Astyanax mexicanus: one gene and its partners. The protein of the gene in region 2 purifies or fractionates together with the protein of the main gene of each other region. This does not show direct contact. Links are inferred from orthologs where the notes say so. Each region holds a gene or a part of one and is shown on either strand. Other genes may lie near its edges. The genes, in order: cad, ilk, dpm1 and cct8.

Region 1 (7,832 bases), on a different chromosome or scaffold from region 2:
AATGATAGTATTAAAAGGTTTACATTCTATTGTGACTACTTCTGAAATAAATATTATGAAATATAACTAATACCTCTTCACTTGCACAATTGTTTCAGCAGGTGGCACCAAAGTTGGACAATTATAAATGTTAATGTCTAAATATTTGAGTTGTATTTTTAACTAATTTTTGTTTAATGTTATTTTTTTTCTTCTAATAAATTTTTTATTTATCTGTTTCTTGCTGAATCTTTGTTGTAACAATATCAATTACTTCCAATACCTTGTTTACTTTGAAAAGCTCTTAGTGTTTTGCAAATGAGCCTTTATGTAAACCAAAGCAAAAATTTCTTGATGAAATCTAACGGTTGCTGAAAATACTGACTAGGTGTGGACTGCACACATCAAGTTATATCAAGTCTAACCAACATGACATACTACAACTATGATATTGGTCAATTTAACCATTGCTGATTTGTAGCAACAGTTTTTTGTGAATTAATTTCAATAGCTTTTGAACCGTTGAGGGTATCACAACAGAACAAGTTGTATTAGATCAAGTCCCACCCACATGACATACTACAACTCTGATATTGGTCAATTTAACCCTTGCTGATTTGTAGCAAAAGGTTTTTGTGAATTAATTTCAATAGCTTTTGAACCGTTGAGGGTATCACAACAGAACAAGTTGTATTAGATCAAGTCCCACCCACGTGACATACTACAACTCTGATATTGGTCAAATTAACCCTTGCTGATTTGTAGCAACAGGTTTTTTGTGAATTAATTTCAATAGCTTTTGAACCGTTGAGGGTATCACAACAGAACAAGTTGTATTAGATCAAGTCCCGCCCATATGACATACTACAACTCTGATATTGGTCAATTTAACCCTTGCTGATTTGTAGCAACAGTTTTTTGTGAATTAATTTCAATAGCTTTTGAACCGTTGAGGGTATCACAACAGAACAAGTTGTATTAGATCAAGTCCCACCCACGTGACATACTACAACTCTGATATTGGTCAATTTAACCCTTGCTGATTTGTAGCAAAAGGTTTTTGTGAATTAATTTCAATAGCTTTTGAACCGTTGAGGGTATCACAACAGAACAAGTTGTATTAGATCAAGTCCCACCCACGTGACATACTACAACTCTGATATTGGTCAAATTAACCCTTGCTGATTTGTTGCAACAGGTTTTTTGTGAATTAATTTCAATAGCTTTTGAACCGTTGAGGGTATCACAACAGAACAAGTTGTATTAGATCAAGTCCCACCCATATGACATACTACAACTCTGATATTGGTCAATTTAACCCTTGCTGATTTGTAGCAACAGTTTTTTGTGAATTAATTTCAATAGCTTTTGAACCGTTGAGGGTATCACAACAGAACAAGTTGTATTAGATCAAGTCCCACCCATATGACATACTACAACTCTGATATTGGTCAATTTAACCCTTGCTGATTTGTAGCAACAGTTTTTTGTGAATTAATTTCAATAGCTTTTGAACCGTTGAGGGTATCACAACAGAACAAGTTGTATTAGATCAAGTCCCACCCACATGACATACTACAACTCTGATATTGGTCAAATTAACCCTTGCTGATTTGTAGCAACAGGTTTTTTGTGAATTAATTTCAATAGCTTTTGAACCGTTGAGGGTATCACAACAGAACAAGTTGTATTAGATCAAGTCCCACCCACATGACATACTACAACTCTGATATTGGTCAATTTAACCCTTGCTGATTTGTAGCAACAGGTTTTTTGTGAATTAATTTCAATAGCTTTTGAACCGTTGAGGGTATCACAACAGAACAAGGATTAATTTGACCAATATCAGAGTTGTAGTATGTCATGTGGGTGGGACTTGATCTAATACAACTTGTTCTGTATCAATAACCTTAACGGTTCAAAAGCTATTAAAATTAATTAACAAAAAACTGTTGCTACAAATCAGCAAGGGTTAAATTGACCAATATCAGAGTTGTAGTATGTCATATGGGTGGGACTTGATCTAATACAACTTGTTCTGTTGTGATACCCTCAACGGTTCAAAAGCTATTGAAATTAATTCACAAAAAACCTGTTGCTACAAATCAGCAAGGGTTAAATTGACCAATATCAGAGTTGTAGTATGTCATGTGGGTGGGACTTGATCTAATACAACTTGTTCTGTTGTGATACCCTCAACGGTTCAAAAGCTATTGAAATTAATTCACAAAAAACTGTTGCTACAAATCAGCAAGGGTTAAATTGACCAATATCAGAGTTGTAGTATGTCATATGGGTGGGACTTGATCTAATACAACTTGTTCTGTTGTGATACCCTCAACGGTTCAAAAGCTATTGAAATTAATTCACAAAAAACCTGTTGCAACAAATCAGCAAGGGTTAATTTGACCAATATCAGAGTTGTAGTATGTCACGTGGGTGGGACTTGATCTAATACAACTTGTTCTGTTGTGATACCCTCAACGGTTCAAAAGCTATTGAAATTAATTCACAAAAACCTTTTGCTACAAATCAGCAAGGGTTAAATTGACCAATATCAGAGTTGTAGTATGTCACGTGGGTGGGACTTGATCTAATACAACTTGTTCTGTTGTGATACCCTCAACGGTTCAAAAGCTATTGAAATTAATTCACAAAAAACCTGTTGCAACAAATCAGCAAGGGTTAATTTGACCAATATCAGAGTTGTAGTATGTCACGTGGGTGGGACTTGATCTAATACAACTTGTTCTGTTGTGATACCCTCAACGGTTCAAAAGCTATTGAAATTAATTCACAAAAACCTTTTGCTACAAATCAGCAAGGGTTAAATTGACCAATATCAGAGTTGTAGTATGTCATGTGGGTGGGACTTGATCTAATACAACTTGTTCTGTTGTGATACCCTCAACGGTTCAAAAGCTATTGAAATTAATTCACAAAAAACCTGTTGCTACAAATCAGCAAGGGTTAAATTGACCAATATCAGAGTTGTAGTATGTCATGTGGGTGGGACTTGATCTAATACAACTTGTTCTGTTGTGATACCCTCAACGGTTCAAAAGCTATTGAAATTAATTCACAAAAAACCTGTTGCTACAAATCAGCAAGGGTTAAATTGACCAATATCAGAGTTGTAGTATGTCATGTGGGTGGGACTTGATCTAATACAACTTGTTCTGTTGTGATACCCTCAACGGTTCAAAAGCTATTGAAATTAATTCACAAAAAACTGTTGCTACAAATCAGCAATGGTTAAATTGACCAATATCATAGTTGTAGTATGTCATGTTGGTTAGACTTGATATAACTTGATGTGTGCAGTCCACACCTAGTCAGTATTTTCAGCAACCGTTAGATTTCATCAAGAAATTTTTGCTTTGGTTTACATAAAGGCTCATTTGCAAAACACTAAGAGCTTTTCAAAGTAAACAAGGTATTGGAAGTAATTGATATTGTTACAACAAAGATTCAGCAAGAAACAGATAAATAAAAAATTTATTAGAAGAAAAAAAATAACATTAAACAAAAATTAGTTAAAAATACAACTCAAATATTTAGACAGTAACATTTATAATTGTCCAACTTTGGTGCCACCTGCTGAAACAATTGTGCAAGTGAAGAGGTATTAGTTATATTTCATAATATTTATTTCAGAAGTAGTCACAATAGAATGTAAACCTTTTAATACTATCATTTGACAATTCTTACATGGTTTAATTACGGTTCTGTATACTCAACTAAAATTAAACAAACCAATGGTTACTACCCACCAATGACAGTATTACTATCAACAGTAAAACAGAAAAAGAAACCCTGAAAGCCCTCTGTTGAACTGCAGGTCAAATGACAGTAAGACTTGCAAAATGGGCTACAAGTGATTATTTGATAAAATATATACTCAGTTGAAACTTTGTCACAAAATCAGAATGAAATACTTTATGAAATATTTTTTAAAAAGGTTTTTTAAAAACAGTTACAAATTGAACAAAAAATGAGTGTAACCTTTATATTTTTAGATTGTTTTTAACAAAACAATTATTATAAAAAAATATTGTCAGGAACTCCTGAAGTCTTGTCATTTGTGACCAGCTAAAAACACTAAAGTACACTACACTTTCATATAATGAAGCATAAAGCATTTGCCCCGCCCATCTTCATTCGCCTTTTTGCTGTGTCGAGTAGTTTGTAGACGGTCCCTTAGCTCTCGTGCAGGTCGCGGCAGCCCATAGACGACAATGTGTTCTGTGGTTTTCTAAAGGCAGATGTTTGAGAGGGGAAAGACGTTGTAGCTGCTTGCTTTGGATGTCAGCATATAAAATAAGCAAGTATTAACCATTTTGCACACACAGTTCAAAAGCTATTGAAGAAAGAAATCCGAATATGCGAATATGAAACCAACTTTACCGGAGTCAAGAAGCACATGCTCAGAAAAAAAAAATAACATCATTAACACAAAGCTAAAATTGTATTTTGTACTCCTGTTGTGAAATGAACACTCATTACACTCATTGTGTACAACTATTGTTGTCTTTGTCTAAAGGTTTATGGGCATTTTAAACCCGTGGACGCGTATCTGTGGATTTTTTTTTCATAATCCTAAACCAAACCAAACCAAATGTATGAGTGGACTGTTCTATTGGTGAATAAAAACAGTTGCTTCTGCAGTGCTTTTTCGCACAGCTGTGTACTGAGTGTTGAAACCAGTAGATATTGTTGTGTTGTTATCTGAAGATACTGTGTTGAAACAGAAAAGAATCAGCTCTTTCCTGAATGAAAAATCACTACCGGGCCTGTCTTTCTTCGCCCCTCCCCCGGGGCGGAGTGTCGCGGAGCTGGGCTCTAGATTTAAGGCGCTGCGCTGGGGCGGCGGGTTTCCACGCTGCTGTGGCTCCGGACAGGGCGGTGTGGACTCGGGCTGCTGCTTCACGTTATTCTTTACAGACATCGGGAAAGGAGAACAGTTTCGTAAGACTCTACTCGTCCACAGTCGTGACCTCCTCCTCCTCCTGTGTGCTGAAAGCGCTCCGCCGCACACATACCGATTATCACGTGGGTCTATCGTCTCCACGAAAGAGGAGAAAAGTCGACGCCGTGGCAGTTAAAAAAACTCTGCTCCACCACCAGAGTACCCCATCTGCTGAGCGCTCTGTGTCCAGGCTTTAACTAGCTGTAAATATGTCGGCGAAAATGGCATCTTTGGTCCTAGAAGACGGAACCACGTTTAAAGGCCGCCTGTTCGGGGCCAGTGCCTCGGTATCTGGTGAAGTTGGTAAGTCGCTGGTTGCTTGGCGGAACACCGTGTTTACAGAGGGGCCTGATAGCCGGATTTACTCCGGTCGTGGCCCCTTGTCACACTAAAACGGCTGTAGTGTGAGGATAGAAGCAGCAGCAGCGATGCTAACTGCGTAGCTAGCCTGAGGGCTCTTACTGAGCTCCACGTGTCCTTCCTTCGCGCCGGATTGTTGAAAGACGAGCAGACGCGCTCATCCGCTGAGCTACAGCCTGTCCCCATACCTAGAGACCAGAGAAATAACCAGCACTCTTACATCTGTAGATCAGAGTAGATGATCTTGCAACATACATGATGAGTAAATCCAGTATTTCCACGCTTTATTTATCAGTTTATATAGCTAAACAGCTGACCAGCCTGAACTCGCGACTCTTTAGATGTTTGTGGCAGGTCCAGTGTGGTTATAAAATAAGTCCAGCTGTTTCTGTTTACAGTGTTTTCCACTCTGGTTATATTGTAAGAAACTAAGTCCAGTGTAAAGGTGTTCTAGCTAAGGTACGAAACGTTTTATAAGAATGCGCACAGACCTAATGTCCGTCCCATTTAATTTTAAATTCACTTATGACGCTTTCTATTAAAACATCTGTTGAGTAAGCAGGAATGCATGTAGGACAAAAAGTGTGATCATCTTTAACATTAACTGTCTTTACACCTTTTCAGTTTTCCAGACAGGAATGGTTGGCTATCCAGAAGCACTTACTGACCCTTCATATAAATCTCAGATATTGACTTTAACCTACCCACTAATCGGGAACTATGGTGTGCCCAGTGACGAGGATGGTGAATTTGGCATCAGCAAGGTGAATAATAATTTGCATATTTTTAAATTATGGCAAATTGCTTGTCAAATAGCAATTTAACTCTTTCAACATTTTTCTCTGTAGTGGTTTGAGTCTTCTAGGATCCACGCCACTGCGCTTATTGTTGGTGAACTTTCTCAGAATCCCAGTCATTGGAGTTCAGTCAAATCTCTAGATCAGTGGCTCAAAGAGCAAGGCATCCCAGGACTAGAGGGTAAGATAATAAGTTTTCTTGAAGAACATACATGCATCCCTTTACCCTGACACTCTGCGCCTTTTAGTAACTGTACTATATTAAACCCAGATCAGTATTAAGCAACATGGTTTGAATGTTGAATTTCTAATAACATTAATATTTACATGTATAAAGTTAGAGAAGCTAATTTACATAACAGAACTCTACTCTGCTATTCAGTTATCTATTGAATTGAATCAATAAATTTGGACTGCTCCTGACTTTTCCTCTAAAAGCAGGTTATACTCATAATATAGCTTTAATTTATTCTGCAATAGTGGATTTCTATGTATTGTGATGTTAAGTGGAGTAAGCAGGTCTGGCCCCTCTGCTTTTTTTATAACCTGCTTGCCATGTTCTACATGCTGTTGATGTTTTTGCAAAATAGGAGTTGACACCCGTTGTTTGACTAAGAAGATCAGAGAAAAGGGAACCATGCTTGGAAAACTTGTGGTTGAAGGGACACCTGCGGAGAACATCCTGTTTGACAATCCTGACAGTCGGAACTTGGTGAAAGAAGTGTCCGTAAAAGTATGGATTGACAAATAATATTTGCAGTATACCCTTTTCATAAATTATCAGCATTGATTTGTTTTCCCTCCCTTTTACCACAGTACATTTCAAACTTGAGTATTTTACTTTATACTACACTACATTATAGAATGTCATTACATTTTGTGAAAATACAGAATGCCAAAACAAAAGAATCATGAAGCAAGTGACCCAATTCAGGGTGCAGCATAGTTTTGCCTTTTTGGACATAGCTGCCTATACGGATTAACATTTTATAAAACAGTTTGAACATTTGGAAATACATGTTCCTACATTAAATCATTTAATATATGGGCTGTATATAGAAAGTATAGTAAGGAATCTATGTGACCCAAAGCCAGTTGATCCCTAAAAAGTAGTATAGTAATAAAGTAGCAAATAAATCTTAATAGACATCCGTGTCTGACTGATCATGACATTCTATTAAATTATTGCTGTCTTTGCAACTAAAAAAGTTGATTAAGGAGGAGTCTTGTTACATTATGATCATAGGACATAAGGGCTATAATAAATCATGATTTATTTACTTTTGGTACATTTCAGTGCAAATACTTTTGTACTTTTACTCAATAAGAGTTTTAAAGAGTACTTGGGGAATTTCTACTTTTACTCAGGGTCTTGATTTTTGTACTTTGTCCACAATCATCACTCCAGATTCATTACTGAAAGCTCTGTAAATTTGCTTTTTTCCAGAAGCCCAGGGTTTACAATCCAGATGGTAATTTAAGGATCCTAGCAGTGGACTGTGGTATTAAGTACAATCAGATCCGCTGCCTATGCCAGCGAGGTGCGCAGGTCACATTGGTGCCCTGGGATTACCCTCTGGATGTTTGTGGTGAGCAACTATTTGTAATAAATGTAAAATTATTAGTTCATACAAAGATTATTTGTATTTAGAAAAATCATATGAATTAAATTTGATTTTGTTATACAAATTTAAAATAATTTGTACAAAGAGTGAGCTTTTGCTTGT
Region 2 (7,912 bases):
TATAGTATATATTTATATTTTAAGAATGTTTATGGACATCATGAGGCATCATATACAACCATTCAACCCTATTCCTTATCACAAGGTGGGGTTATGTGGTACACACTTTCTACACACTCTACCTTCAGACCTCCTTACAAAGCCACTCCCCAAACCGCAGGAACATGCAGAGCTCATGAGCGCATACGAGAGATGTACAGGACATTTAGGGAAAAAAATTTAAAAGAACCCAGCAGCTTAAAATCCTCTCAAAACATGAACCACATTTTATAGCAGATCTTCTTGATACCAAATTTTGTAGGAAACTAAAGAACAAAATATTTACATATATGTAGACCTAACCCACACTGGAAACAGGAGACATCACACCTGACATCATTCCAAACTGAGGCTATTATGTCTTAATCTGTTGAGTTAAACAACACTGCTCAACCTCAATCCCTCACAATCAGATAAAACAACACTGAAAAAAGCCTGACATGAACAGACCAAGTCAAAAAAAAAGGGAGCAGCCTTCCGGAAAGATTAAAACCTGAGATAACAGTAAGAGTCAGAGGTACGCTGAAGAACTAAGGAAGGTTTCAGTTCAAAGAGGAAATACTGTCAAGATTAGTGTTGTGATTATGCAGGCTCTTAAGAACCCATTCATTACCTCAAAAATAAGCGATGACTGTATTTTGTCATAATTGTGACTCTTCACTTCAATTCCTGATAGCTGGTCAGCAGCGTTTAAGCTATAATTCATTTTTGCAGATATTTAGTGCATTCAGGAGTCAACTCACCCCTGGTTTAGGTCATTCTCAGTGTTGTCCAGCCAGAGGCGGACTGCTACGGCATTGCCCTCTCTGCACTGGGTGAAGATATCATCCATTGCAGCTCCCCCTCACTCTTCGTACTGGTAGAATCCTTCTTCCCCTACCAGGAGCGCCCTGGGAGAGGGGTGTGATGCAGTGGTACCTAGATGCCACAAGTGAAGGGCAGTGGACCATTCAGTTACGGTGCAGGCCGTCTGGAAAGGGGGAAAAGAGACTGTTAGCATAGGATACAATGGGAATATATGGCATACACTATGACTATATAATTGACATCTTAAGCACAGCCAAACATTTTTTTTTCTAATCTGTTTAGTAGAAAAGGTTGAATGACCCAGAAGTTACTGCCCCTCAGGGCTTTTAGGGTCAAGAGAACTTTAAAAATAGCTTGCTGTCCATCCAACAACTTTTAAAGTAGGAAAGCTTGGAAATCTGTTAAACACAAACATCTGACTGTATGGTCCACGGTACAGTTTTTTTTTTTCCTATAATAAACCTCAGCTCCCAGCCAATATCACTAGCCTTTCCCAAACACACATACTCATCCCTTAAGGAGTCAAAATTAGTTTCTTAATTTGAAAACTTATATTGCAAATCTCTCACACAGACTAGGGCTGTGTATTGGTAAGCACCTGATAATATGATACTGATTGTGATACAGGGGATACGATACTACATATACTGCAAAATACTGCCATACAAATGTTTAAATCAAAATTGGAAAGGAAATAAAAAACATAAAATCATATTTACTGATACTAAATACAAGAAAAGTTTACTTTTTATCAAATAAGAACACTGGGATGTATTATTGGGATGTTAATCCAATTCATTTGATTAATTAAATTACTTTTTTATAATATCACCCAGTTCTAGTGGGATCTAATGAGTGCAGCTGCTATATAGTGTTTTTTTTTTTTGTTGTTGTTGAAAACAAAATATCATGATACAATGCATTATCAATATTTTCTTACATCCCTAACACACACACACTCTCGAGTGTGTAAAGAAGACCTGCTATTCCTTAAGGAGTGCATGACTTTTCCTTGCTTTGGGACGCTCACATTCCAACACACACACATACACACATACATACACACATACATACACACACACACACACACACACACACACACACACACACACACACACACACTCTCTCTCTCTCTCTCTCTCTCTCTCTCTCGGCATCACCCCTGCTCTCTAACCTATGTGCCAATGACCGTGTAAAGAAGACCTGCCATTCCTTATTTTAAGGAATCCAAAACTTGCTTTGGGAAGCTCACATTCCAACACACACACACACACACACACACACACACACACACACACGTCTTGGCATTACTCCTGCTGTTCTACCTGTGTGCCAAGGACTGTGTAAAGACCTGCCAGTGCTCATAAACATACATTTAGCCATTTAACTCTATATGACACCAACTAACTGCAACTAACTGCACCAACTAATTAAGTTACAGACTACAGTCCAGCAGAAAACAGCTAGAAAACATTACATTCGAGTAATAAGAGACTAATAATACTTCAGAAACATGTTTTAAAGGGTGTGGACCTGAAAGTAAACAGTTTAAGCACTTTTCTGATTTAATCACACAATAAAACACTGCCTAGACATTCAGTCAGTTAGGATAACCTAGCTAACTAACAGCTATGTGTTCACTCAGGACTGGTGACGTTTTCAAAGCCAGAAAGCAGCTAGTAGTTAAAAAGAGGAGAAAACAGCAGACACAAGCCCTTTTATGGTATTTAACAAGCAAATAGTACAACCTAAATGTAATAAAATTACACTTCTTTCAATTAAAGTGTATCTTTTAATGAAAATAGCACGTTTTCCCTCACTTTACCTACTTTAGAAGAATAAACTGAGACAGCATTAGCGTTTTCACTCAGCTAGCAGACAGTTAGCTAAGCTAGTTAGCCTCTATACGCTAAGCTAGCTGGGTTAGGGTGTTAGCTAGCGAGCTAGCACCGTAAACAGGCAACTGCGGGCGGAGAGCTCACCACACCACCGTGAAACCGCCGTAAACGCTCGTATAAAATAAAATAAAAACACGGGTTTTACCTGGTAAAACTGTAATTTAGTCCGGGACGAAGCTCCAGGGATGGTAAGGGCAGTCTGACGGACACTAATGTCCACACCCTAGTCGGAGGTTGTAGGTCCTCCTCTCTCTGTGGAGGGAAGAGCTCCCTGCAGAAATCACGGTTTCATCGCCCTCTGTTGGAAACCAGCTCACAACCTGCCCTCCAGTCATATATTTTACACAGTGCCCTGGAGAAATGATTTTTTACAGTAAAGGAAATCATTATTTGATCCCTTGCTTCATTTAGTAAGTTTGCCCACTGAGAAAGAGATGAACAGTCTATATAGGGGACATTCCAGGATTTTGGTACATTTCCTGTCCCACCACTTAAATTTAAATTTACATTTCCAAAATATCTAAATGACTATTTTGTGACAAATGTACTTGTTATAAGACAAACTGTAAAATATGGTGGAAAAATAAGCTCCTTAGATATTATTCAAAAGACCGAATACCTTTGGACCACCTCAAAAAAAATGGCCGTTATCTCTTGTCCCACAGATTGGGTGACCAACTCCTTTGGCAAATTTAACAATTAAAATAAGCTCTAAATAAATGACTTCCTCTTGTATATTGTTGATATGCATCTCCTTTACTTATGAAAACAACTTCTTTGGTATAGTTTTTATGCTATTAAGTTGTGTCCCACAACATGCGCTCAACCCTGTTACCATAAGGAATTTTACCTGGCAGAGAAAGAGTTAAAAATATTTGTCTACTGGCACAAAGGAAGTGACATCACAAGGACAGTTGTGTGTGTCACCCAGTGAACGCAACCCTGTTACTCATATTGTAAGACTAATAGTGAGTAGAGTCAAAATTTACTTTATATACTTATATAACCATGTTTGTCCTTGATCTTCTATACATAGAAGATGTATGCTCCTCAGACAGACTCCGAAAGTCTTTTGTCCCTCAGGCCATAAGACTCCTCCCAGCACAGCAAACTAAAGACTCTGTGACACTTTTTCACCCTGGCAACTCATGGACACACCCTCAGCTATGGAGACACTCTCAGATTTGCTGATGCCTATAACACTATTTTTATAGTTCTACCCTATTTTGCACTAGTAGTTCATTCACTAGTTTATCCATCTACTGTCATCTACTATCTCTTTTGCACTGCTGAATTTAAATCATTATATAACTGTTTATTTGCACTTTCTGTATGGCTGACATCAGTTATCCTCACTTTATGCACATCAACTGGTGTTCACTGTCTATTGTTCAACTGCACTACCTCCATTCTACATTACAGACACACTAAAGACTGCATTTTTACATTGTACATTCTATTTTTTTATTTGACTGTATTTATATGTATCTTTATCTTTTATATATTTTATTTTGTAACTTTGTGTATTCAATTTGTAACTTTGTGTCTGCTGCTGGATGTCTAGAATTTCCCCTCGGGGATCAATAAAGTATCTATCTATCTATCTATCTATCTATCTATCTATCTATCTATCTATCTATCTATCTATCTATCTATCTATCTATCTATCTATCTATCTATCTATCTATCTATCTATCTATCTATCTATCTATCTATCTATCTATCTATCTATCTATCTATCTATCTATCGCTATATTTTACAGTTAGCATCTGTTCCTGGGGTAAACCACAACTTAGCCTAGCTTTGCAACCCTGTTACTCTAAGTTACCAAATATATTGCATAATCTAATTAAAAAAAACTGCTTTGATACCTGAGCTTGACAAATCAAACTTTTTGATAGCCTATTACCTGTATTTAATAAATATATGACTAAAAATGATCAAATTGAAGATCAAATTTTCACAAGTGACCACCTGACCACCCTGAAATGTACCAAAATCCTGGAACGTCCCATATCTTATTTAAGGGTAGGTAAGTTTTATCAGTAAGAGATGGAATATCAAAAATAAAATCTAGAAAATCACAAAGGATATAAATTATATACATTTATATAACTTCCGTTTATTTATACATCGTTAAAATGTGGTTGACATATGGTTGAAGTAATATCGTTAAAACAACATTTAATGTTAAATGGTTCGATCGTTTTCTACTTGTAGCAATAAAAGCTTTTTTGTTTGTAGTTGTACAGTTCCTACTTTTCAGAGATGTATATTCAGTATATAGAGAGACTAAAAATAAAATTGTTAATTTTTCTTCATGGCATACAGATTTTTTCTTCTTTCATACAATTTTAAGCGCCCCAAATGTGAGCTATGGTTAATTAAAGGTTGAACGTACGACATTGAAACAATGTTGGCATATTAAGAGGTGAGATTTTACATGGAGCCCCAGATCGATGTCGATTGACATCTACATTTGACTTAATATTTTATTGGGTCAATGCATTTTGTAATTATCAGTGCAAGCTTGTGAATATAGTCCGAACATTCTGACTTGAGAAAAGGTATTATAGTATTGTGTGGCCTCTGTAGGAAACTTTTTCTTGATCTCATTAGAGCATTTGAAATACTGATTAATGGCAGGCTGTAAAGAGTTTAAAAAAATGTTTAACATTTAATAAAATCTTGGTTGACCTAGAGTTTCAGACATGAATGGTTGCATTTCTACTATGAAGGAGGATTTCTACTTCATGTCCTTCTGCAACATTTCTGCTAGATTAAGGTCAGGTCTATTCCAATAGCTTTCTGGCTTGTTAATGTGAGCTTTAGCAAACTCCACACAGGCAGCAACATTCTTTTTGGATTCATGATCATTAACATTAGTCAACGTGAGAAAGGCCTTTAGTTGCTTAGAAGTTACCCAGCGTTCATTTGTGACCACACAGACTGTTACACTCCTTGTTTTTGGTGCGTTATTTGCTGGTTGATCACTCCTGGGGACGGAAATAACAATTGTCTTAAATATCTCCCATTTGTACACATTCTGTCTGCCTGTGGATTGGTGGAGCCTAAACTATTAGGAACACCAACTAATCTTTGACTCAATTGTTCTCGTTACCCATTTGGTTCTTGTTATTCTTTTTTTTTTATTTCAGGTTACATTTATGCAGATATTTAGAAAAAATGTTTCAAGCACTATTGTAACTGAATGGTACCTTACATTTCTATGCAAGTTGTTTTTATCCAGCAGTCATGACAATGACTAGCAGTGTTTTTTTTTCATAACCCTTGCTGTGCAACAGCCATTCTATTATTCCACATTCTGTTTATTATATTAGTTAACAAAATGATATAAAATTATATTTATAATTTATATTTATAATGATATAAAATCATGTTCCAAAATACCTTTACCAAGAAACAAAGAAAAGGTTACAACAAAAATTGTAAAAAAAAAAAAAAAGCACACAATGTAGTAACAGACATTTTAATAATTTATTCATTTTTCTTGAATGCATTTGAAAAATGCATGTTTTTACAGTCTTTACTTTGTATTGGCAACACAGTAAAAGGCTGCATCTTCTATTTTATCATACCGAAGATGAAGCTATTTTTTAAGCTAATTTTGCTAAATTACAGGAACACTGAAAGTTCAAACCGAAAGCAAAATTAATGGCAGTCAGAGTCATACAAGTGGCTGCCTGAACTGCTTCTACACTTTTAAAAACAGGTGTTTCTATACATTTTTGAGTCATTCCAGAGAAGAACCATGATTGTAACAGATGTGAGTGGGAAAGTTCTTTAGACTTTAATTATTTATATTATTAGGACTGCCCAAAGTTACTTTGGGACCAATAAAGTATCCAACCATCTCTATATTTTACACACAGTCTGCCACATCTCTCTAACCTAATGTTGAGAAATCTGGTACTTCTATATGTGTAGCTCAATAAATATGACCAAGAGTTTGCATCAATCTACATTAATAATTTATTGTTCCTAATAACCTGTATTTCTTTTAAATAGCATTGTAATCGGACACTTTCTTTAGGTACAATTGTTTTTATTAAGATGAGTATAATTTGCTTAGAAGTACATGATAAGATCTGTATTTTCTTTTCAAATTCTTCAATGTTTTAAAACAAAACACATCTCTAAACAATGAATCTATAGTCATGATGAACCTGTACCTGTGGATGTGCTGCTGCTGTCTAGTGTGATCTGCTTTAGAGCCAACTTGTCTATCTGGATGCCTGGCGCTATATTTGAATTTATAGAAGAACTAGTTCCCTCTGAAGATCCCAGAGTTGTTGGTTCTGTAACAAGCGATGGAACCAATGACACATTTTCAGTTTGCAGTCCTAAAGAGGGAATGGTAGTGGCTGTGCCACCGGTAGCTGGTGCTGGGACTGATGACAGATCACTTAGCATTGGCTCAGCAGCTAATGGTGGAAATGATACTGATGCAGCAGGCGTTTCTGCCGTCATCACATGTTCAGCAGAGAGCGCGGCTGAAGCTGGACCCGTTGTCGCTAAACCTCCAGCCAGCGGCTCCGCTGGTGTTCTAGCTGCCTCCTCCATTTTAGCTGCTTCTGCAGCCTTGCTCTCCATCTCCTCCATCCGTCGCTGCACCATCGCCGGCATCAGCTTCACGTAGGTGCCCATGAGGCGATGATTGGAGCGGATTAATTTGCTAGCACAGTTGTCTACACAGCGCTCCTGAAAATCAGAACAACTTGTAAGTGACTGTTCATATTTTCAGGTTCACAATTTAAAGGAAATGTAAATCAGACTGAATTTACAATAATGGCAACAGAAATAAAATAATAGATTTAAATTAGATGGTTATAAATTCATATCAACTACTTATGAAATATGAAACTACGTTTTGGACGTAATTAAAAATGTTGTGATTTATACAGTAGAAATCTGAACCTCAATTTCACATTAAGAAATGTTGTTTTTTTTTTTTTTGTTACTGTGAATAGATGACTAGTATAAACTAAACCAATCTCCCAAAAGGTAAGCCTGTCAATTTAATTTTATCAAAAATAAATCAATGTTAGCGGCTCGCCCAGTTGAATCGCAGAGCAACGCATCAACAAAAGGAATCACCTCAATCACTGTCTGCTGGCTGCTTTGGGGTGTGTCTCTTAAAAACAAA
Region 3 (7,903 bases), on a different chromosome or scaffold from region 2:
AGTAAATTGATAACAGTATAGTTCAGTTCAATATGAAAGCAAGATATAAAATAACCATGTAATGTAAAGTACAGGTGGACTGACCTCCCCAATGGAGTAGCCTAGTTGTCTAGCACGAACAATCATCTCCATCTGGAACACATAGCCCTTAGACACACAGCGCTCTACCAGACGCTCCAGCACATCCTTCTTATAAAGCCTGAGAAAATAAAACAATCGTTGTAAGCAACAGTACATCCTGCTGTTTACACAGAGATCAGTAATTATGATAATACCATGTTGTACCACATACCTAAAACTTCCTGTCAGATCTGATGCTCCAGGCCTCAACAGCACCTGTGTGACGAAATTTGCCCCACGGCTAGAGAGATGTAAGAGCATGGAAGAAAATGAGACCATATAATGATATTTTTAAAACTTTTAAAAGGCTAGTCTTACTCAGGCTAGTCTTACTCAGTTTTAACCTATGAGGAAGCAAATAATTCAAAGCCATGTTTTTATTATTAGCTTATAACAGAAAGAACTAAACTAATGTTCCTAACAGAGACGGTAACCCATCTAATCTTTGCTTAAAAGTGAGTATCAGGATTATATCTGGAAGAGGCCAAGCCAAGCCCAAGTTTAAATGCACCCAATAGTTATTTTAAAGTGTTTTAAAGCATAACAGTACCAAGTTTTCTGATTGAAGATAGTGAAGTTCTAGTTTTAGCTTCAGTGTCTAAATAAGGGTCTGTCATTAAAGCTTTTTAAAATAATTAATCATTTTTGAAACATTTCAAACATGTTTTGGCTACTCAGCTTCAATATGGTTAATAGGCAACATGGTTTAACAAATATTTAAGGGAGGGCACAAAACAGAGTGGTGTAGGACACAGGTTATTAATTAGTTACCTAATGAGCTTTCGCCGCAGGTCCCATCCATACACACCGCCATCTCCTCTGTACCGTGTTCCAGACACTAGATCATATCCTCCTTCTTTCTGTTTCCTACACAACAACAAAAAAATTCCAGTGGTCAGCACAGAAATACAGAAACACACAAAAAAACAATTGGAATACAGGTCAAACTAGTTCAGTAATAGATCTCTGTATTTAAACATGCATAACGTTACAGTAGTTTTTACTTACTTGATAAATTCTGGGATAAACTTGGGCTGCAGGTAAAGAAGAAATAGTTAACTTATGCACTGCCTAAAACAATTAAAAAAGATATCAGATAATAAAGAACAATAAGAAAATAGCAGCAATTATTTAGTTACATGATGAGAAAGATCTGCATCCATAATAATAATGAAGTTCCCAGTGGCATGCTTAATGCCATGGATGTATGCTGTTCCTGAAAAACATAATTGAAAGAAAAAACACAATTTAGTTTTCTCTCCAGACCTCAAACCCACTTTTCACTTGCTACAGAAATTTAACAGAATTTAACAAATTAATCTAAATGCATGTCACACCAATAAGAAAAAGAAAAATGTATTTTGGCTCACCTAAACCCAATTTCTTTTCTCTTGGTCTCAGGACCTTCAAGAAAGAAACACACACTTTGATTAGATTCTCAGGACAGTATAAGTAATATTACATTTTCATTTTTAAAAAGCTCATACTCTACAGCAGTGAGGATTATTTAAAAACCATGTATATGTGCAATAGTGTACAATATTTGAACAGATGCATATAACTATATATGTCACAGACTGACTTATAAAAATGACCAGTGACAGTAAATCAAAAGAAAGGGTATTGTATTGTTAATTTCTGCTACAAGTATTAATGACATAAGCCCACCACACAACCCAGATATAAACTTCAACTTACAATCTTATCTTCTCCGTAAATTTTCTGTAACTGCTCTGCGATCTGGAGTGTCCCATCAGGGCTTCCATCATCGATGACTATAATCTCGTAGTTGTATCCACTGTACAAAATTAAAATGAGAGTGAAGGGCTTTAGTTTTAGGCTATAAATAGGAAACTAGGGGAATGGACTAGATTAGATTACATTATATTTATAACTACAATCATACATTATAATCCTACACTACAGCTGGACAATGTCACAATTGTGTTTAAAGTTTGTGTGTTTAAATGTGAGCACATATAGGCTCTCCAAACCGTCACTGATTAACTGAAACTTTAAACTAGACCTCAAGAAGCTTGGACTGTGTGTCTCTCCACTCTTGTTTCAGACATTGGTCCCTTGACTTACAAATGAAATACAAAATGTACTGATGATCAGTGATGGTTTAGACAGCCATGTCATCTGCTGGTGTTGGTCCACTGTGTTATATCAAGTCCAAAGTCAGTGCAGTGTTTTCCCAGAAAATGGTTTCATGCTTTCCTCTGCTGACAACTTTAATGGAGATGCAGATTTCATTTTCCAGCAGAACTTGGCACATTGCCCACACTGCCAAAAGTACCAATAGGTCTTATATGATCTAATTTTTCTGATTTTGAGACTCGGATTTTTGGGTTTTCATTGGTTGTAAGCCATAATCATCAACAACTTTCCAATAATATTCAAATTATTTGAGATGCAAATACTAACTAATATGTATTTAAAGACCTTATTCTCACAACACCCCATTGTAAATTTATCTCAGGTTTCTCCACAATTCATCTAATAATAATTGTATACTCTCAATGACTATGTTTTTATGTTAAATCTCAAAGTGTGAAGTATGCAGAAGTCGAAATAATAATGGATATAGAGTTTTATTAGCTGTGTTTTAGCTGAGGAGTGTAAACAGCACTTCAGTGACAGCTCATCTTTATCTGGCAGCTCTGAGCCGGCTAGCATTAGCATTAGCTCTGTTTCCACCTCCTATTAACACTCACCTTTCCCCAAAGTACTTCACCAGCAGCCAAACGATCAGGGGCAGGTTCTCCCGCTCGTTGTAGGTCGGTAACAGGACGGAGTATTTATCAGCCTCCTCTCTGTTCTTCTTCTTACTCTTAGATCCTGCCATGTTGGGCAGAACTACACGGCGGATGTGCGCGCGGACAGCTGCCCGGTGAAACCCGCGCTCCCGCTTTTAGTTCCTACACTCAGTCCAGGGCTGAGTTCCGGGACAGCTGTAGCTGAGAACAGACTACTAAACAATTTCTGAATCAGACAAGCCTGTGTAGTTATCTGCTTAATGTGATTTTGGAAGTTATAGGAAATTAATATTACTGTTCTTTTTGAACCGGCCATCTAAACCCACTCAACAGAATAGGGAAGTTTATGAATGATGCAAGAGAAATAGTACTATTCTACAGTGGAGTTTTTACAGATTTACAGATTCTCTTTCTTTTGTCATACTGCATTTTTAACATTATCAAACTAACTTTAATATCCAACAAATATAACCTCAGTAAATATAAAAAAGTATTTTCTAAATTCTAATTTTATTTATTAAGGAAAAGTTATCCAAAACAATCCAGCTCTTTGTGAAAAATTGTTTGCCCCCCCCCCCCCCCCCCATAAATTAACTGTGATTATTCACACATTGTGGAAAGCTGAGTTCAGTTTCACTAACCACACCCAGGCCTCATTACTGTCTGACAAAATGAAGCTGGATAAAAGATCTCAATCTGAAAAAAATCTAATACAGACCACAGTGAGAGCTATTGTTCACTAATGGATAAAACATGGTCCAATGTCGAACCCTCCTAGGAGTGGCCGTCCGGCCAACTGAAATTACTCCAAAAGGACATGGACGACTCATCCAGGAGGTCACAAAAGAACACAGAACAACATTTAAAGAACTGCAGGTCTCACTGGCCTTAGTTAAGGTCAGTGTTAATGATTCAATAATAGGAAAAAGACTGGACAAAAATGGTCTCCATGGGAGTTCCAAGGCAAAAAACACTGCTGACCAAAAAGAACACAGGGGCCGATCTCACACTTGCCAAAAAAAACATCTTGAATATCCTCAGGACTTGGGTAAATATTCCTTCAGTGGCTGAAGGAAAACAATTCTGGAAAGAAGAGCGAGCCACAATTTCTTTACAGATATGTGAAAGACTCATTGCCAATTATTGGTAAAGCTTGACTGCATATTTTTTTTGTATGTACAGTGCTAAATCTTTTTACCTATGATTCTGAGTTGTCTTAATGAGTGAAATCTATTCAGAGTGATGTTAATTAACAGTGCAACACGGAAAAACAGTAGGCCTATTGTAAAAAAAACTATATGTTAAGAATGGAGCTCCAAATGAAGTCTATTGCCGACAAATTTGGGGACCTCACACCTGTCTACCTTTTTTTACGATCAGAGTTTGATTTGTAACTTTGCTATATTGTGATTATAAAGCCATAGCTTTATATAAAATAATATATAACATTAATAAAAGTAGGCCTACGTCACAGACAGTTTTCTTTAGCCCCACCCGACAGGATCCAAGGAAAGCGGTGGGATATGTCGACCTGAGTTTGGGTTGGGTATCAGGCCACGCTCGGGCAGCTCTGGTCTAAAATAAATTAATTATTTTAAATAGTTCTTAACAGCGTCTATTTTAATATCTCTGATAACATTTACTCTATTCTCATGTATTCACTTTCATATACAGAACAGAACAGGTCTATATACATTTCTGTTACATATTTATATCAGGAAAATGTGTTGACACAGGCAAATGTGATATGAAAAAAAAAACATTTTATTAATTTCTTTTAAATATAATTTGTTTTTTTTTATAGGTACATAACTAATTACCTGTGCTCTCCCTCTCTCTTTATCTCACACACAAACACATGCACACACAAACAAATGTGGTTTATAAAAGCTTAGACATATAAAAAACACAACAGTCAGTAATTCAGTTTTAGACATTTAAATACAGTAAATGTAATAAAGTGTTAATTGTAACACAAGAATTCAATGTGCAGATTCAAACAGAACAGGCATTATGCTTATGAAGGACAGCAAGACATTACAATATGATCACAGTGTATTTTCTTTCATCACATTTTTATACAGTAAATGTCAGTTTTGGAGGCAGTAAATCAGGGAAACCAAAGAAGTGGTAGTATGCCTTCAACATATTAAAAAATATATATATAAATACAACACAATAAACCACAGCATTGATAAAATTGCTTTAAAAACATTCTCAGTGCGAAATTGTCATTATTTAGTAAACAGATGCTCTTTTCACAACAAAAATGGCTATATTCCCCTTTAAATGTAAATGAAATGACGAGGGACCCTTCTTTATTGTAATATCGAAATTAATACATCACAAAATGAGTCCTGCTTAAGACTCTAGTGATTCATGGAACTGGACAGTATAATTAGACATAAAACAAAAATAAAAGAAGTGAAAAAAATTACTGACACATAATGAAGGGCAACCAGAGTTCCTGGAGAATTAAAAGATGAAGATAAGCTGGAAGTCTGATGTCGTTTACATCAGCTGTGTCACACAGTGAGCGGGATTTTAAAACATGTCCTTTGCATGCCAGCCCATTTTTCCTCTATTCCACCCAGTAGTGCCCCTTTTACTTCTTCTGGGAGAGAGCAAGCACTCAGGATTCAGGACTCAGTGTTTAACTGATCGGCAAAACAGTTCTCTCAATGTTATTCCAATCAAGGCTGGTATCCGAAGTATGGATCCTCTGTAAAGTCATTAAAGATGTAATGAGAAAACGCATTATTCACAGTAGGACATGTGATGATGTATAGGAAGCCTTTTTATGTACCTGCTAGAGGGTCTCCTCGATGGCAGCCACTACTGTCACACGCTCCAGGGGGCCCCATCTCACCTGGCTGACCCACCAGCCCAGGAAGACCAGGAGCACCTTGATTACCATCGTCACCTCTAGGCCCTTGCATCCCTACCTTTGCTTCTCCAGGGGGTCCTTTTGTATTACACACAAACAGAATCAAACAGTGGTTGTTAAGGGGCAAACAAAGTATGAAGGAGTCAATACCCGAACTGTATTAACTAATGTCTTTAAATAGATCATAAAACCAAAACATTTATAGATCTATATTCACATTAGATACCTGCAAAACCCTTTGATCCTTGTGGACCTTGAACGTTAATCCCTGGAGCTCCTTTAGCTCCAGATGCACCTCTTCTTCCTGAGGATTTAAAGCAGAATTAGGAATCTGGGGAAGAAAAGTGTTTCTAACATAGACTGTAAAAAGTATTGATGATAGAAATATGCGATGCTAAGTGTTTTTCCCAGCTGGATTACTCGCTAACCACTAGCGGTTAGCCGCTAATGCCACCGGACAGAGCTAGAATAAGGAACCCTGAGTGATCCGGTAAGGCAGGGCGATATTACTAATATACGCACAACTCGCTTTTTTAACACAGTAAACTTCCAGGCTTCAGTTCAATATACTCACCTCTGAACAACGAAGGAGCTAGTGCTGTGGTTAGCGGCTAATGCTAATGCTGCTCTGGCAGTGCTAGTTAGGGATGCCAGCAGGCTACAGGCCAATAATACTCACCTCTGAATGGCCAATGAGCTAGCACGGTAAGGAGCTAATGCTAACGTTGCTGAAAAACTAAGCGAAGTGGCTTTCCAGCTCCTTACAACCTGAGCAGTAAAATTCATACATAAGGCGCACCAGAGTATAAGGTGCACTGATGATCTTTGGGGAAAGTAAAGGATTTTAGGTGCACCTTATAGTCCAAAAAATACGGTAAATGTTACTGCACATGTTAAATAGTGTATATGTGTATTATATTCATAGTTTTCTCTACTCTCAGTTAGGCTCGGAAACACTAGCATGTAGCTGCCAGCTAACAAAAAATGTGTATTAAAATCAAATCATCATTACTGAAACATCTTTTATAGGGATATATTTTGATTCTGCATTATTGTCCAGCCCAATTTAAGCACGTTGTACATATACTATTAAACTAGTGGTCAAATAGTGTCTATAAAAACTAGTTTACTAACATTACATGCATTATCTTTGCAGCCTCATCTCTAATGTGTTGTGTAAAGAGACAAATTCTGCACATTTTGATTTATCACTTATTTTAATGTTGAATAATCATCTTTATAAAGTTATATAATGTCTCACCCTGCTCGCCAGGGTATCCTGGTTTTCCTGATTCTCCTCGGTCTCCCTGCCGTCCCGGTGGGCCTCTGGGCCCAGGGGGTCCTTTCCCTCCTGGGATTCCAGGCTCACCTGGAGGCCCGACTGGCTCCTGGATGGGCACGGGGTTCCGACTGATCTCATTTAGGAAGGCGTCTATCTTTAGCACTTCATCTAAAGCACAGTGACATAACATACGAACACTGTAAGAACTAGCATGAACTGTAAGAGTTCTGATCTAAGCATCACTATAAATGCTATATGGATCATATTAACTTTGTAACCTCTGACATAAAGACACAAAAAATGTGAAGAAAAGACAGTGTGAGGTCATCACATACTGTGCACTAGCTTCTCACAGGCCTGTGTGACGAGCTGGTAAATGATGGCAAGAGACTGTGGCTCTCCCTGTAAAACAAAGTACAATAAAACAATCTCACAAAACACAATCAAATGTTTATTTTTTAATATACAATGGTGCCATGCACAACAGCTTTAACTCACCTTCTCTCCTCTCTCTCCTTTACTTCCAGGAAGCCCCTAAAAAAAAGAGATGGACATTATTAATTACAAGATTACATACTACAAATTGAGAACGCCATGACTGTGATAAAACATTATGAAATGCCTATTAATTAATATAATATTCCTGCCAGCAGTATGAATATGTATTAAGCCATACAGTTTATCTAATCAACGTTATAATCTATACCATGGTATACTTTATTTACTCACTGTCGGCCCGACAGATCCAAGTGGCCCCCTCTCTCCGGCTGGCCCTGGGTGGCCAGGCATTCCCTGGAAACCCTATGAGAAACAGATACCAGAAAGATTCAACAGAAGGCAATGTTCTCTATGTCA
Region 4 (7,753 bases), about 790 kb from region 2:
TTGTCATCACCACATTTAGGGATTTTTTTACACCTAAGAGCAAGGTCACTGTGTGCATCACATAGTATAGGTTTGGTCCAGTATGTATTCATTAAGCGCCTTAAAAAAATGTTTGATTCATACTGTTGAGATCCCCCACCTATGTGTTTGTAACAGAACTAATTCATGTCCTTTTTTGTTCATCAATAATGATTTACAGTTACAGTCGGTAAAGTAATCGCCAGAGTAATCCTCTCTGCCTATACTGCAGCATGATGTATGTGAACGTAAGGGGGAGTCAGATTTAATCACAGCACGAATTCTTTATCTTCTTCTGTTGTTGCTATTATTAAGTGGCCGACAACGGTCTGCCTTAACTTCCTGCATTGTGACATGGGAAAGGAGGCTTAACGCTAGGACACTGCCATGGGGATATATGTGGTAAGAAGTCAAAAAATCCAATAAACCCAAGACACTGCTTTTACAATGCAAATGAACCAGTCTATGGTTCTATTGACCTGGACTGAAGCCACCTTTTTTTGGTCTTTAGGCATTGAATAGTGGTTTGTTGCACCTTTCAGATCAATTTGGTTCAGACGAGACGAAGACTAAACAAAGAATGTGGGAATGCAACGCTTAGGATTAGGTGATTCTTTTTCTGCTCGATTGGCCCATCACAGATATTGATCTTGGGTGGGGCCAAATGCCACAATAATGCCACATAGATGCTAGGAAACTTGGTACAGCTCAGACAGTCCGTGATTACCCGTAAAGAACTGCACTGTGGAGCTCAGGGTGAAAAAAAGAGAAAATTGTTTTCGTGCTTATCTCAACTGTGTTAGGTGGAGAGCTAGCTCTGCTACTCATTGATTGGGCTGAAAGATGTACTGAGAAGAGTGGTATTATGTGGATAGTGGGGTTAAAACATTTATTTTCTTTCCACCACAAGGTACATTAGTTCCAAACATGAGCTGCAAGGAACAGCAAAAACTCTCCAGACTGAGCTGAACCCTTAGCATGGTCTGTAGCACTAAGTGGCTGCTGACGAGTGAGTCAAGAACACAGGCTTCCTTAAATGAGTATCTTCAGCTTCCTGACACCGAGCAGCTTCAACGGGGATCCACACAGGACTGCTTAACTTAACTGTTTAATCAGCTAAATCAAAGGAATATCAGTAGATTTTAAGTCTCAAGAACAAAACTCACCTCAAGCTCTCTTAGAATGGTGGCTGCGTCATTGGTTACAAACAGTTTCTCCAAGTGGTTGATGACCATTTTGTTCATTCCTAAAATAATACATAAGAATAAGAAAAGAAAAAATTGAAATCAGTTATACAAAGCAGTTCAATTTCCCAATGAAGCTTAGCATCTTGATTAAGGTAAACACTTTTTACCATTAGGTCCGTATGCAGTTCTTGTGGTCTGTGCCAGCTCCTTGCATGCCTGGATATTTCTGAAAACGGCTTCCTCGAGACCTGAATAATGCTGAATAGAGAAGCCAAAGACAGAGTTTTTTCAGCACATATTACAAATTTGTACAAAGAAAAATGACACAATTACTGAATTCAAATCTGCTGTGATTATAATTAACCAATAAAAGCAAAATTTTGATGACAAGTTGAAATTCAATTAACAGCGAATTAATGTTTTTTTTTCCCTCACATGACTTAAAAATTTAAGAATAAATCCTGCTGTAACAAACGAAACAATTACAATTTCATAACTTACATTTTAATGACGAGTTATATAGAGCATAAAACACTTAAAGATTTTAAATGGAACACCTTTGTAAATCAATTTAACAGAAGGTACAGCACTATCCCAGCACATCCACATTCTGTAAATAAAGCCAGATTAATAAAACACACAATCACGCACTGTCCTGTAGTTATGCTCTCAGTGATGGAAAGAACTTTACACAGCATTTGAAGGGTCTGTGATACATGTCACCATAAACTCTGTTGAAATGAGTTTAGTTCATTAGTTAAAATTAGTTATTTCTCTGTGGTATTTATTTTATTTAGGAGAACAATTTTAAGCACTGATTTAAAGTGAGAAAATTAAATATCTAAATATATTTTATTAGATATTGATGCACATACACATATTTCATTATTGTATTTTCTGTAATCATCCAAAAAGTGTTTTTTTTTTTTTTTTTTGCACTAGGGCAACACCATGCCATAGAGGGTTAAGATAAAGTCAAATCTTGACTGATAACATTGATCTGCCACATTAACTAACCTACATGTGCTTAGCTGCTTTGATCTTGGCATCAATATGTTTATGGCAAAAGGGTGGGTCTCTACACTGAACATTTAGCTAGCTGAACCTTTTAAAACAATAAACTATAAAATTAACATTATGAATACAAAAAAAAGTTCAACACACTGCCTTTAAAATGTAACTAACGTTAGATTAGTAAGCTGGTTGGTGTTAATGGACATTTCTGTCACTGGGCTAATCGGCTCTTAACAGTAGCTAACCTAGCTTAGCTAGGCTAAGTTAGATAGCAGCTGAATAAAAAAGCTTAGTTTATGGCTAATACGATAATAAATACTGGTGGTTGTTATTATTATTATTGTATTCGGGACTCTGTCCCGGTCACTGCAATAAACAGAGCTCACTTGTCACAAATTACCCAAATAAGGGCAGATTTTTGGGTAAAGCGCTCAGTAAACTAAGGGAGTCTGGAGCTCATGTTCTAGAATCCTCCACCCACATGATCCGTATTTCGGCACGCTGTGCTAAGCTATGCTAAGCTAGGCTACGCTAGGCTAACTACCGGCGGCGTTGCCGTTGCCGCTGCCGCTCCCGCCCCGATAATCACTCCGCTCAGCCTCTATTTCAGCCGGTAAACCCACCTTAGCGCCGTCCTTCAACATCTGGGCGAAGCCCGGCGCTTTGGGGACGTGGAGGGCCATGCTGAGAGTCTGAGAGCCCCGCGGAGGCTGAACTGATGGAGATAATGAGAGCCGCTGCAGCACAACCCGAACAGCGTGCGGCTAAGAAAGACAGGACGAGGGTCGATCACCGATAGAGGGAGGCTCAGAAATACAGGAGGACTAATCGAGCTACGAATCAATCTAACTAGCCAAACTACCGGCCTCTGTCAACAGTCTTTACAGTTGTTTTCTGTCTGGATTGATTTACCAGACATACAAAGTTAGCAAAATTATATATTTTTGTTTTAATTTGGACTTGGACAACCCCCATCCAAAATAATAATAATAATAATAATACTATTTGATTCTCGATAGGTAGAAGTACAGAAACTAGGGTTTAAAATACTTCTGTAGAATTTGCACTATTCTACAACTAAAGCGTTTTACTCAAGTAAAGGTGTAAAAGTACTGGTTTCAAAACTATTTAAAGTATAAAAGTAAAAGTAATGTAAGGGGGAAAATGCCATTAAGGGCAAAAGCTTAGGCTGTGCCACAGGGTCCTATAGTGCACTACCCCCCTCCCCAAAATAAAGTTTTCCTAAAAGCCATAATAACTATGATGTTATGTTAAAAATGGTAATGTAAGAACGTTTGGGATGCTAAATTCACTCTATCCAGATAAAAAAGGTTTTTTATTTAACAATTAAAACAAGCTTAAATGTAATAGCAATAACACAGCTATTCTTAGTAGAACTTAATTGTAATTGTAATTGTGTAATAAGGTAAGAATTGGAAGTAAAAAGACGCCTGAAAAGTTTTTAGTCAAGTAATGTATCGTGAAGTTTATTGTAATTCATCACTGAGGGAGATTGTGCACCCCCTGGTGGCCAATAAAAGAACTGCTCACTGGAAACAAGAAAACCACAGAACAACAGCAGCTGCTGCAATAAGAAGGAAGATTATGATGAGGAGTTGTAACAGTGATAGAGCAAAAAAAAATAAATAAATAAATTTAAAAAGCCACAGCAGCTTATAGATCCTATATGTACAGACTGTGTGGTCTATGGATGAATGGTATATTTTAAAACTTAATTTAACTTTTTTAGGTTGTGTAATTTGTGTAATATATGAACACTGTGTCACACCAATTATTGTATATACAGCTGTACAAAAAAAAGAGATCTCTCCAATCTTTTCCTTAAGTCAGCATCGCTACACATATGAAAGCCATTTCATTACAGTCATTCCATCAAGCTGAGCTTATAGAATTTATGTTCTAGGAACAACATTATATCAACCAATAGTAATGTGAAAGTCTGTCAGAGTACATGATGTCCATACATGTGAGCTGTGATTAGTGTTTATTAAATCCTCTCAAAATCAAAACATTTGTGTTGTGTTGTTCATATAGGAATATTTCTTTGCATTATTTGATTTCTGAAAAAAAAGTTGTTGTAATTTGTACAAATAAATGTTCTAAATACAATTTGTTTACAATAAATCTAAATTGTTTTAAATGCTCAAAATTAAAAAATGTCCATTCTGCTCAAACGCATGCCAATAAATAGTATTAATGCACTGAAATGAACTTTTTATCTAAAACTGTACAAAATTAAACAATAAAAAAAATCAAATGTTGTTTTGTTTTAGGTTTTTATTCAGTTTGCCTTTTTTTGTTTTTTACCATTGTATGGTATTCATAACAGTTTTTGCTACTTACCATCTTCAGTACAAGAAGCCAACTAAACAGGACCACATTAAATAAAAGCCATATTGAGACACAGAAATGAATGAATGTAGAGATTGTGTATTTCAGCTGAAAACAGACATTTGAGAAAAGGTAGCAAACTGACTAAACTGATACCAAGCATGATAACTGATTTATTTTATATGAGTAGAGTGTACAAATGAACTTGAACCTGCCGTTTATTTGCTCCCTATCTACATTACATTACATTACATTTGGCAGACGCTTTTGTCCAAAGCGACTTACAATATTGAAGTGCAAATAATAGAAGAGGTTAAGTACAAAAATAATAGAAGTTAAAAATAAAGCATCTATAGATAGGGCCTTAAGGAGGTCAGAGGGAAATAATAGGATAGAGGAGTGAAGGAGAGGAAGAAGGAGCTGAGGTTAGAATTAGTTAGTTTGTTAGAGGTGTTAGGAGAGTAAGTGCTCTTTGAAGAGCTCTGTCTTCAGGAGTTTATTAAAGATAGTGAGAGATTCTCCTGATCTGGTAGTAGAAGGTAGTTTGTTCCACCATTGGGGAACTCTGTATGAGAACAGTCTGGATTGCTTTGTGTGAATGTTTGGCAAAGCGAGGCGACGTTCATTGGAGGAGCGCAGCGGCCGGGAGGTAGCGTAGGCCTTCAGGAGCGAGTACAGGTAGGAAGGAGCCTGTACTGTCATCACCTTGTAGGCGATTGTAAGCACTTTGAATTTGATGCGAGCAGCAACCGGTAGCCAGTGGAGCTCAATGAGCAGCGGAGTGACATGTGCCCGTTTTGGCTGGTTGAAGACCAAACGTGCTGCTGCGTTCTGAATCATCTGTAGTGGTTTTACTACGCAGGCCGGGAGGCCAGTTAGTACGGCATTGCAGTAGTCGAGGCGTGAGATTACCACAGCTTGTACCAGGAGTTGGGTGGCCTGTTGCGTCAGAAACGGTCGAATTTTTCCGATGTTGTAAAGCGCAAAGCGGCAGGATCGAGCAACTGAGGCCACATGGTGCGTGAAGAGAAGCTGGTCATCAACCATGACACCCAGGTTCCTAGCAACCTTTGTCGGTGAGAGAGAGAGAGAGTCGATGGTTATGGCAAAGTTGTGTTGAATAGAAGGTTTTGCTGGTATGACCAGAAGTTCAGTCTTTGAGATATCAGGTGAAGGTGATGCTCCTTCATCCATGAGGATATGTCTGAGAGACACTGTGATATCCGTGCAGAGATTGAGTGATCTTCAGGTAAGAATGACAGGTATAGCTGAGTGTCGTCGGCAAAGCAGTGGTAGGAAAAACCATGTGAGCGGATAACCCGACCTAGAGAGGTGGTGTATATTGAGAAGAGAAGAGGTCCCAGTACCGAACCCTGGGGAACCCCAGTGGGTAACGAGTGGGCTGGGGACAGCCGTCCTTGCCATGACACCCTGAACGAGCGCCCAGTGAGGTACGATCTGAACCATGACAGCGCATTGTCTGAGATCCCCATGTTCGAGAGTATAGTTAGGAGGAAGTCATGGTTGACTGTGTCGAAAGCAGCCGAGAGGTCCAGCAGAATGAGCACTGAGGACTGTCCTGCAGCTCTAGCAGTTTTTAACGCTTCTGTCACAGACAACAGAGCCGTCTCAGTAGAGTGCCCTTTCTTGAAACCAGATTGGTTCTGGTCCAGGAGGTCATTTTGGGTGAGGAAGCCAGAGACTTGATTGAGAGCTGCTCTTTCTAATGTTTTAGAACATTACTTTCTTCCATGCTCCCTGCAGGCCATAAGCGAAATCTGTTCAGAATGGTGTTCATGAACAGTGCAACAGGGAAAAATCATAGGCCTGTTATAGGAAATAGTAATAGTTACAGTAAAGGCTGGTTTATTCTGGTTATACAAGTTTTAGTCACTTGCAGAGTGTATATAAGGTGCCTGTACTTCAATTGTGGACGAGTGGAGGAGCTTGTGATATACTATATCACGCTAATGCTGGGCGGTATGACCAAAAATGTATATCACAGTATTTTCATGGTATATCACGGTATTTTTATTTATTTATTTATTTTTATGCATGACTGGGACTGGGCTCAGTATACACTGTGTGCTTCTACACAGCGCCTCTAGTGGTATGGTGGTATGTGAAAAATGTATACTGGTTTTAAATTGCCGTATGGAATACCATATGAACCGGTATACTGCCCAGCACTATGCTATAGCTTTAGAAACAAAAAAGAACAGCATTAAAAAACGTAGGCCGGGTTACCAATTATTTTCTTAAACCCAACCAAGCCAGAATTCAGGTTTGGAACAGGCAGACAATTTAAACTCTAGTATAAATTATTCTGTCTCTTCACTTTTTGGCTGAATACAAAAGTGTTTTTTTTTTTTTTTTGCCTTTTTTTTTTCATTTCTTTTTCCAATAATTTTGGTGCATCCCTAAGAAAAAGTAAATAATAAATAATGATAGGTTTGGAAGAAAGAAAGAAAAAAAAGAAAGAAAGAAAGATGAGGGTCAGTTTCAGAGAGATGGCCTAATTTCAAAACACTTGCATCACTCACTTGGTGTCTGGGATACTCTGTGCTGATCTTAACGGTGGACATTTTTCTTGCCTAATGTCACTCAGAGCCCAGTTTAGTGGCGACATCTGAGGGACTCCCAGCAGGGTTAGATCCTAGTGGGCAGACACACATTCTCTCTCTCTCTCTCTCTCTCTCTCTCACACACACACACACACACACACACACACACACACACACACACACATTCTCTCCCTCTCTGTTTTACACACACATTCTCTCTCTCTCTCTCTCTCTCTTACACACACACACACACACATACAGCAACCCTCAAACACTGACTCTTCTGCTGAAGAGCTGCCGATATGATTCATTTGTTGTTGTGTTTTGGTGTTTATGGAAAGAGGCTTATCTAAATCTTTTAAACTTAAAACTTTTTTTTTCAAGAAGTTTCTCAGAAATACATTTCCAAAGCCAGGTAAGACTTATTTTACCTCAGAATAAGACAATAAGATAAAAGATTCATTTGTTAGCCACTATTGTAAAAGGGTGTTTGCAAGCTCTAGGCTATGCCAGCTAATTAAATTATTAGTTTGACACTCTCACACATTATTTTGCATTATTCTGTATATATATATTTCTATATAGCTGTTTGCTATAACTAACATAATTTAATATGAG

The links.
Region 1: the proteins of ilk (region 2) and cad purify together in Homo sapiens (affinity purification with mass spectrometry; 4 studies listed by BioGRID and IntAct, with this or other methods). This does not show direct contact. The link is inferred for Astyanax mexicanus from reciprocal best matches to the Homo sapiens genes ILK and CAD.
Region 3: the proteins of ilk (region 2) and dpm1 purify together in Homo sapiens (affinity purification with mass spectrometry; 3 studies listed by BioGRID and IntAct, with this or other methods). This does not show direct contact. The link is inferred for Astyanax mexicanus from reciprocal best matches to the Homo sapiens genes ILK and DPM1.
Region 4: the proteins of ilk (region 2) and cct8 purify together in Homo sapiens (affinity purification with mass spectrometry; 4 studies listed by BioGRID and IntAct, with this or other methods). This does not show direct contact. The link is inferred for Astyanax mexicanus from reciprocal best matches to the Homo sapiens genes ILK and CCT8.

What each region holds. Positions count from the first base shown.
Region 1 is NC_064408.1:56,412,197-56,420,028, forward strand, and holds the start of cad (CAD protein), read left to right. Parts: upstream 1-4,826; 5' UTR 4,827-5,157; coding exon 5,158-5,251; intron 5,252-5,932; coding exon 5,933-6,072; intron 6,073-6,156; coding exon 6,157-6,286; intron 6,287-6,695; coding exon 6,696-6,838; intron 6,839-7,552; coding exon 7,553-7,694; intron 7,695-7,832. UniProt on the Homo sapiens protein: Multifunctional protein that encodes the first 3 enzymatic activities of the de novo pyrimidine pathway: carbamoylphosphate synthetase (CPSase; EC 6.3.5.5), aspartate transcarbamylase (ATCase; EC 2.1.3.2) and dihydroorotase (DHOase; EC 3.5.2.3).
Region 2 is NC_064427.1:35,781,407-35,789,318, forward strand, and holds the start of ilk (integrin-linked protein kinase), read right to left. Parts: upstream 3,018-7,912; 5' UTR 2,890-3,017; intron 1,010-2,889; 5' UTR 872-1,009; coding exon 783-871; intron 1-782. Other genes in the region: timm10b (mitochondrial import inner membrane translocase subunit Tim10 B), read right to left, coding at 6,922-7,467. UniProt on the Homo sapiens protein: Scaffold protein which mediates protein-protein interactions during a range of cellular events including focal adhesion assembly, cell adhesion and cell migration.
Region 3 is NC_064420.1:35,198,486-35,206,388, reverse strand, and holds the start of dpm1 (dolichol-phosphate mannosyltransferase subunit 1), read right to left. Parts: upstream 3,017-7,903; 5' UTR 2,969-3,016; coding exon 2,838-2,968; intron 1,919-2,837; coding exon 1,819-1,918; intron 1,525-1,818; coding exon 1,491-1,524; intron 1,337-1,490; coding exon 1,260-1,336; intron 1,155-1,259; coding exon 1,129-1,154; intron 988-1,128; coding exon 892-987; intron 362-891; coding exon 293-361; intron 200-292; coding exon 85-199; intron 1-84. Other genes in the region: collagen alpha-1(XX) chain, read right to left, coding at 5,573-5,601, 5,686-5,844, 5,993-6,070, 7,028-7,216, 7,384-7,450, 7,547-7,582, 7,778-7,849. UniProt on the Homo sapiens protein: Transfers mannose from GDP-mannose to dolichol monophosphate to form dolichol phosphate mannose (Dol-P-Man) which is the mannosyl donor in pathways leading to N-glycosylation, glycosyl phosphatidylinositol membrane anchoring, and O-mannosylation of proteins; catalytic subunit of the dolichol-phosphate mannose (DPM) synthase complex.
Region 4 is NC_064427.1:36,574,944-36,582,696, forward strand, and holds the start of cct8 (T-complex protein 1 subunit theta), read right to left. Parts: upstream 3,005-7,753; 5' UTR 2,903-3,004; coding exon 2,843-2,902; intron 1,464-2,842; coding exon 1,373-1,463; intron 1,265-1,372; coding exon 1,185-1,264; intron 1-1,184. UniProt on the Homo sapiens protein: Component of the chaperonin-containing T-complex (TRiC), a molecular chaperone complex that assists the folding of actin, tubulin and other proteins upon ATP hydrolysis.